Linked DNA regions of Sus scrofa. The protein of the gene in region 2 interacts with the protein of the main gene of each other region in a biochemical or structural test. Links are inferred from orthologs where the notes say so. Each region holds a gene or a part of one and is shown on either strand. Other genes may lie near its edges.

Evidence for each region. The genes of interacting proteins can lie anywhere in the genome.
Region 1: the proteins of ESR1 (region 2) and GRIP1 form a complex in vitro, tested with the Homo sapiens proteins (2 studies listed by BioGRID and IntAct). The link is inferred for Sus scrofa from reciprocal best matches to the Homo sapiens genes ESR1 and GRIP1.

Annotation. Positions count from the first base shown.
Region 1 is NC_010447.5:30,724,399-30,727,920, forward strand, and holds part of GRIP1 (glutamate receptor-interacting protein 1), read right to left. Parts: intron 1,041-3,522; coding exon 807-1,040; intron 1-806. UniProt on the Homo sapiens protein: May play a role as a localized scaffold for the assembly of a multiprotein signaling complex and as mediator of the trafficking of its binding partners at specific subcellular location in neurons.
Region 2 is NC_010443.5:14,488,366-14,492,593, reverse strand, and holds the start of ESR1 (estrogen receptor), read left to right. Parts: upstream 1-1,428; coding exon 1,429-1,880; intron 1,881-4,228.

The DNA of each region.
Region 1 (3,522 bases), on a different chromosome or scaffold from region 2:
ATTCCTAGTCAACAGATTATTAACTACAGCGAAGGTCTTGGCTCCCAAGAAAAATGGGCTGAGATTGTTATTATCTGTACATCCTTACATATTAATAGCGACAACAAGCATTAGAGTTTGACAAAAGAAAACAAGAGAAACCTCCCTTTCACTGCTTTCCCTGGCCCAGGCTTCCACAGACTCTGTCACCTACATATGCCTTATTAAACTCTGCCAGCAACTCAAATTCAGTTCTGTTTGCAATCATGGGTTTTCTTCCAAGAAGTACAGTGAAGCAATTATCATAGCAGAGATGGAACATAACCAGGGCTTACCCTCTCCTGACCCAAGACATCCGAATCATGTCTCCAAGGGAACTTCAAGTCCCCTGAATAATATACCCATCTACTGAGAAGTCTGTAATTGATGATTAAGCTTCCAACACCACTGAAATCCCTTTTCACTGAAGCTAGCAATGAATGACATTTAGAAAATCCTTCCCCTTTGCAATGAAGTTGGAATAACCGATCGATTCATTAAAGCACCGTGTGACCCTGGAACCTCAAACTTCTGTGAGAAGATTTCAGCCAGAAATACATTTTGGATCAACCCCCTGTTTGAAAGCCCATGTTTCCCATTTTATGAGATCACCGCTCAAAGATCTTGTTTTGAGAACAGTATCTCTGATGATCTGCCTTACTGCTCTGGCCTCTCCCCTGGGCTGAGCCCACAGTAGGATGTCACGATCAGGCTTGCACCAGGACGCCCACGGTGTGCCCAATGCCTGCGAAATGTGACCCCAAGGGAAGAAAAGAAAGCTTCCTGACCTTGTGCAGCTCCACAGGCGTTGGGGACATGATCTCCTTTATTTCTTGTTTCATTTTCCTCAGGGTGACAGACTTCCTGCCCACATCTGAGGGCAGAGTGTTGCTCCGAGTGGTTTGGCTATAGTGTGGCCGTGAGCTGCTCCGTTCCTGGAAGCTGGCCTGTCGCCCCAGCTGACTGCGAGGTGTAGGGGCCTCGTGATTCAAACTCATCGTACTCCCCGACATGATTGTTGCCTGTGGCATTGACAATTTTCAGAAACAATTAAACCACGGACTAAGAAAAGGGTTCGGTTGCTCAACATTAAGCACATTCCTCCTTCTGCCCAGTCAAAATACGGCCTCTTCAGGGCATAACCAAAGGCTGGAGAATGGACATAGTAATTGCACAAGGGAAGTCTGAGAAAATGTTTTGCAAGTGACATTTATAAGGCACATCTCAAATCCAATTTAAGTACTTAAGCCGTTGAGTTTATTTAATCAAATACCACCCCTGGCAGGTTTGAGGCAAACTGAAAAGCTCTAACATCTGCTTACTACAAACTACATTTTAAGCATTAACTTTCCACTGAGTGGGCTCTAAAGATGGGGTTCATGAGGCAACCTTTAATATAGCTTACAGAAATGAATGAAGAACTTCTCGGTGGGTTGAGGCTGTGGATACACAGGTGACAGCTTCTTCTATGCTGCCTACCCAGCTCTGGCATATTGTCCTTCCTGTGACCACGTGACCTGCCTGAGACGCTTGGGGATCAGCTAGGTCTCCACATCGTTTGGCACAGGTCCATGTTCCTTCGAAATGGCCTTTATGTAAGACTGCTTTGAGGAATAGTCATTCATCATGCTACTGGATTCAACCCTTTGCTCAAAAGCAGTGAGACTTGGATTGGATTTTACCAGTGAATTGAGAAGTTTGTTCAGTTTCCATATATTCCCTCCATAATACATGAGGAATGGCAAGGTCAGATCTCAAAAATGACCGAGAATCAGAAGTGGAAGTGAAGGAGCATTTGAAACTAAAATCATGTTGGGGATGTTCATTTCTCATGGTTAGAGGATGCTAACATTCTGAAAATATGCCTGGGGCCAGCTCCATGTTCTTTGATATGATGGTTAGATAATGGGATGCCAGCATCGGTGAATCTGCCTGAAATCATGGGAACAGAAAACAAATTCCATCTCCTACGTGACTGGCTACACCATATCTAGTGATTTATATTAATACTGATGCTAAAAGTAATGAAAGTGTCATTTGTTGAGTTCTTTGAATGCATTCACCTATTTAAGCATCATGCCAATTTTATGAGGCAAGTGCTGATTTTCTTCCTAATTTACAAGTGAGGAAACTGAGGCACAAAGAGGTGTAATAATTACACCTCCTCCTTTCAGTTAAGGAAAGGGATGCTTGGATAAAGGAAGCAACTTGCCCAAGAGTCTGGGATTACAACCCAGCAATCTGTCTTCAGAACTGTTATGTTCGACTTCCAGGCTGTACTGATTCTCAGTCAAATATGAGGCTGTAACATATAAAACTGACCTTTTAGTAAATGGAAAAAAAAAAACCCACCTTATTTGTCCAGTGTGGATTATTCATATTATGGTTTATTTCAGATAAATCCCTTTTAAACTGAAACTTTTCTATTACTAGCTTCGTGGTAACATGGGGCATCCTTTTACCTTATGGTACTTAACTCACATATATCATTTCTTTGTTTAATCTACTCTAGCCAACAGTATCTGATGAGTGTTTTCTCTCCCTGATGACCATCCACTTTTTTTTACCTATTTGGACTAGTTATTGGCTTTGTTAACAAATTTATACTCATTTTTCATGGGATTAGCAGGAAACACGTTGGAAGTAGAAGAACTGCTACAGCTGAGAGACAACAGTTCTGCTTTGATAATCCTTAGTCACAACAGGAGTTATATAAGCTGATCTGGAAAGAGTTCTGATGGAAGCAAGGACATCTTATCAGTAGGTTTCCAGATCAAGTTTTCAAAGGATGGATTGATTGCTTTGTTTAAAGTAAACAGAATGAGTGACATCTCTGAAGGAATACTGACATTAAAACACAAACAGAAAAACTAAAATAAAAAAGTTTAGGAGTTCCTGTTGTGGCGCAGTGGTTAACGAATCCGACCAGGAACCATGAGGTTTCAGGTTTTAAACTTTTTAAAAAAGTTTAAAAAACTATTTGATGTTTTCTAGGATTTATTTTTGCTTCCAGAGTATGCATCACCTGTTTTCATTTTGTGCAACTCATAACTATACTTTTTGAAAATTATCAGTGAGATAACTGGTATGCATACAACTTAGAAGGAGTATGTTTTGTTTTGTTTTGTTTTTTTGTCTTTTTGCTATTTCTTGGGCCACTCCCACGGCATATGGAGGTTCCCAGGCTAGGGGTCGAATCGGAGCTGTAGCCACCGGCCTATGCCAGAGCCACAGCAGCGCATGATCCGAGCCACATCTGCAACCTACACCACAGCTCACGGCAACGCCGGATCCTTAACCCACTGAGCAAGGGCAGGGACCAAACCCGCAACCTCATGGTTCCTAGTCGGATTCGTTAACCACTGCGCCACGACGGGAACTCCTAGAAGGAGTATGTTTAAGAGTTTTCTACATGACATTTAGTTAAATCTTCTTCCGTGTTATACTAAGCAAAAAATAGTTAAGACAGTATGTATTCATTACTCAAAAAAGCAGAAAAAAGAA
Region 2 (4,228 bases):
CAAAGGAAGTTTATTAAAAGGTATAAACTATCCAAGATTGCAGGTGCAAATATATTTACCATATCTTTTTATATATGCTTATATATACTTTACATGCTATGTAATATACATTATTATCTGTTATACACACACACATATATAATGTGCTTGAGCATGTTTAGCTTTTAATTCAGTTCAGAACTTTTTACTATTTCTTTTCCAATCTGAATATTTGATTCTGCTTATCCTAGTCCAAGTGAACCAAGAAGGTCCAATTGTAGGATAAAAGAACAGACATGTATCATTGCATTTCAAAATGTGTTTGGTGAGACCAACAGTGTAGATTTGGTTAATGAGCCGAGGTTATGCTTTTTTTCTGGAAAGGTCACATTTCATATTCAGTTTTCTGAAGTTTTGGTTGCATAATCTGTGGAAGGCATGAATACCCATGTCCGCCTAACGGGAGGTTTCTGTAAATCGTCATTCACATTAGAATTCCTGATGGGAGCAAGTACAGTACTGCGGCCAAAGACAAACAGACAAGTCGGGCTGGGGGAATCTCAGATAGTCTTGGCTGGAGGGGATGACTTTGGGAGAATTTTGCAGATGAGGAGAACTGAGCTGGGCAGCACTCCCCTGACTGCAAAACGCAGCTCTTTCTATAGTACACCTTGAGTCTCCGCCCCCTTTCCCCCAGATGCCTCTTATCTGTCCCCCGAGCTGCTAAATATAGCCGTCTGCCTATGCACCCGCACACCCCATTCTATCTGCCATATCTCGGTTACAGAGTGGTCCTCCCCAGGGTCATTCTCTGTACACACTCCGTATTTCCAGCCAACGAGGAGCGTGAATCCAACAGAGAGAGAGACAAACAGAGATAGATTGGAGCCTGGCACGGGGCACATAAGGTAGCACGTTCGAGAGAGCCGGCCCCTGGATTAGTCTTCCGAGTTTGTTTTAAACCCCGTCATCTCCGGACCACCTTTAGGAGATCCCTCTGCGCCTCCGCCCTCCTGCAGTGAAATGCAGCCTCTATCCAGCAGCGACAAGTAAAGTAAAGTTCAGGGAAGCTGCTCTTTGGGATCGCTCCAGAACGAGTTGCGCCTGGAGTGATGTTTAAGCCAACGTCAGGGCAAGGCAACAGCCCCCTGGCCGGCTTCCAGCACCTTTGTAATGCATATGAGCTCGGGAGACCGGTACTTAAAGTTGGAGACCCGGGCCCGGGAGTTGGCGGAGCGCGCTCGCGCCGGGCTGCACTTGCTCGCGTCCGGCCGCCCCGCTCCCCGGGACGGGCCGGCTCCCGGGGCAGGGCCAGAGCTCGCGTCGCGGCGGGACATGCGCCGCGCCGCCTCTAACCGCGGGCTGTGCTCTTCTTCCAGGTGGCCGGCCGGCTGCTGAGCCCTCCGCCGCGGGGGGAAACGGTTTGCGCCTTGCCCGCGGCCACTGACCATGACCATGACCCTACACACCAAAGCGTCCGGCATGGCCCTGCTGCACCAGATCCAAGCCAACGAGCTGGAGCCCCTGAACCGCCCGCAGCTCAAGATCCCCCTGGAGCGGCCCCTGGGCGAGGTGTACGTGGACAGCAGCAAGCCCGCCGTGTATAACTACCCCGAGGGCGCCGCGTACGACTTCAACGCCGCGGCCGCCGCCTCCGCGCCCGTCTACGGCCAGTCGGGCCTCGCCTACGGCCCGGGGTCGGAGGCGGCGGCGTTCGGCGCCAACGGCTTGGGGGGCTTCCAGCCGCTCAACAGCGTGTCTCCGAGCCCGCTGGTGCTGCTGCACCCGCCGCCGCAGCTCTCGCCCTTCCTGCACCCCCACGGCCAACAGGTGCCCTATTACCTGGAGAATGAGCCGAGCGGCTATGCGGTGCGCGAGGCCGGCCCTCCCGCCTTCTACAGGTACCCGCGCCGCCCGCCGCGCCACGTCGGGGTGGCCGCCGCGCACCCGGCGGCGGGAGGGAGCGGGGGGCGAGGGGCCGCGCCGCCGGGAGCTCGCGGGGCCCGCAGGCCGCGGGGCTGGGCACCCGGCAGCCCGGCCGCCGCCGGCGCCGCGGACGCGCGACCCGAGGGCTAGGGCGCGACCCGGCCCAGGGTCACGGGTGGATCTCGCGTTCGAGAGTCAAGTTCTCCGGCCTGGCAGCTTAAAAAAAAAAAAAAAAAAAAAAAAAATTTCTACTCTCCACCCCGCCTACTGTCTGCGTGAGAAGCAGGTCCGAAACCCCGTGTGCTTTCCAACTAAACCAGTATTAGAAAACCGTGCAAAGCAGAGGTTATTTGTGGGGAGAAACGCCCCAGACCAAATAAGCACAAGGTGCTTTGAGTCCCTAGAAAAGGTCCCGCTTTGGCTGTAGGTGTTGGGGCAGGCGGAGCTCAGAGTTTTCTTTTTTACATAGTCTTATTATTTTACAAATTTGTTTTAACGTGCTTGCAAAATTTCCTTTCACCTAGAATTTCGGATTGGCTATGTGCACGCTGTGCCGCTGGTGAGCTGGTGATGGTGATGAGGGGGTGCTCATTTCCTTGGGAAGCGGTTCCTAGCAGCCCTTTGCTTGTCCTCCCTGTCCCACCTCCGAGGGAGGCTGTAGGACTGACCGAGCGCTGCTCAGATGAGCAAGGGTTGAATGGGTCTCAAGGAGTTTCTGATTTCTGAGTTATCTGGCGGAGTCCGTGTCAGAGCAGCTTGCTGGCAGAAGACTTCTGACAGCCGGAGATTTATAACTGTCCTGTGAGTTAAAAACATGCCACATCGAAGCACGAGTGTTTTGAAATACTTCCCTGCCAGCTAAGTTTCATTTCTGGCCTGCGGGGCTGAGAATGCCCTGGGAGTGGTGTGTATGGGTTCAGCCCAGTTCTGTGCCTTTCATTCTCAGGAGAAGCAACAGATAGTTAGTCGTTCAGGATAGACAGGAACACTTTTGTGACTTAAGAGGCAAGTGTTTTTTGTCCTATTTTTTTCCCCCTAGTAGACCCTATACTTTCCTTTGCTCCTCTTCCTCCCATTTTCCCTTTGACAGTTTCTCCCTTCTCTTCCTGATGGACTTTGCAGAGGGTTTAGGCAGGGGGTCCTGGTGGGTACCTGCACCCTAGGTGCTGCTGGACAGGGATAGCCTGGGTGGGGTTGGGAGGCCTCCCAGCACCCTGGTGGCTGGATGCTGGGTTAGGCACTGCCTGGCTGGACACTGCTGGTGTGTGGACGTGCCCTCCACCCTCACCCAGACCCTTCTGTATTGCAAGCTGTGGGCCGTTTTTCTATTCAGCATCTATTTCCAGAGATATTTATAGCAGAAGAAACGGGAGGAAGGTGCATCGTGGCCCTAGAGAATTCTGGAGGCAGCCGCTGGGGGTATCTGAACATCTGCCACATCCTTCAGCCCCCTCAGAGGACCTTAGAATGTCACACAGCCAAGCAGGTCCATCCTGAGTTATTACTTAAAACACAAACAATGAACAAAACTTTAAAAAGTTGGCCTCTATCGAATCATTTTAACTTGTTTTCTGCAGGGTTAAAATGGAAAGAGAAAAAGAATTTATTCTGCCCGCTTTTTTTAAGTGTTAGAATCAAATATGACAATTAAATCTAATTCACACAACATTTTAAACTCCTTGATGTGAAGGAAGGCACTGATAGGACGTGAATTCCATAACCTTATGGTAGACTCCAGAAACAGTTTTCTTTTCCATTTAATTTTCAGTTCTTTTCTTGCAAATTAATGCCACTGAATTTCAATGGACACTAATGAGACTGCTTCTCAGTGGATTATTTACTGCCCTGCTAATAATTACAAAGTGAACATGGTCAAATAAAGAGGGGAATCACATTTTATTCAAAATTGTTCAGCATCCTGGTGGCAAATAATATCACTATAACATGCCCATCTTAAACTTTCTGCATTCGATGATATTCAGATATTTTTAGAATAATAAAAAAGTGATATGGAACTTTCAACTCACCCACATTGGATTCTGTGTGGAAATTCAGTTTTAGAATGATCATTCTCCTTTGTAGTTTATTTCCCATAACATCCATCCTTCCTTTCTTTTCTTTTCTTTTCTTTTCTTTCTTTGAATTCCGCCTCTTATTACCCAAGAAAGAGGGGAAGGATCTATAAAATAAGTTATTTCAAATGGAGAGATGTTACTTCATATTTTTTCCCCTCTCAGTTTTGCTGTTTGAATAACTTTTGGTAAAAAAGAAAAGAATTCATTGGACTCTTTTAGGAAACTTTAATTTTCTTCAGTACTTATCA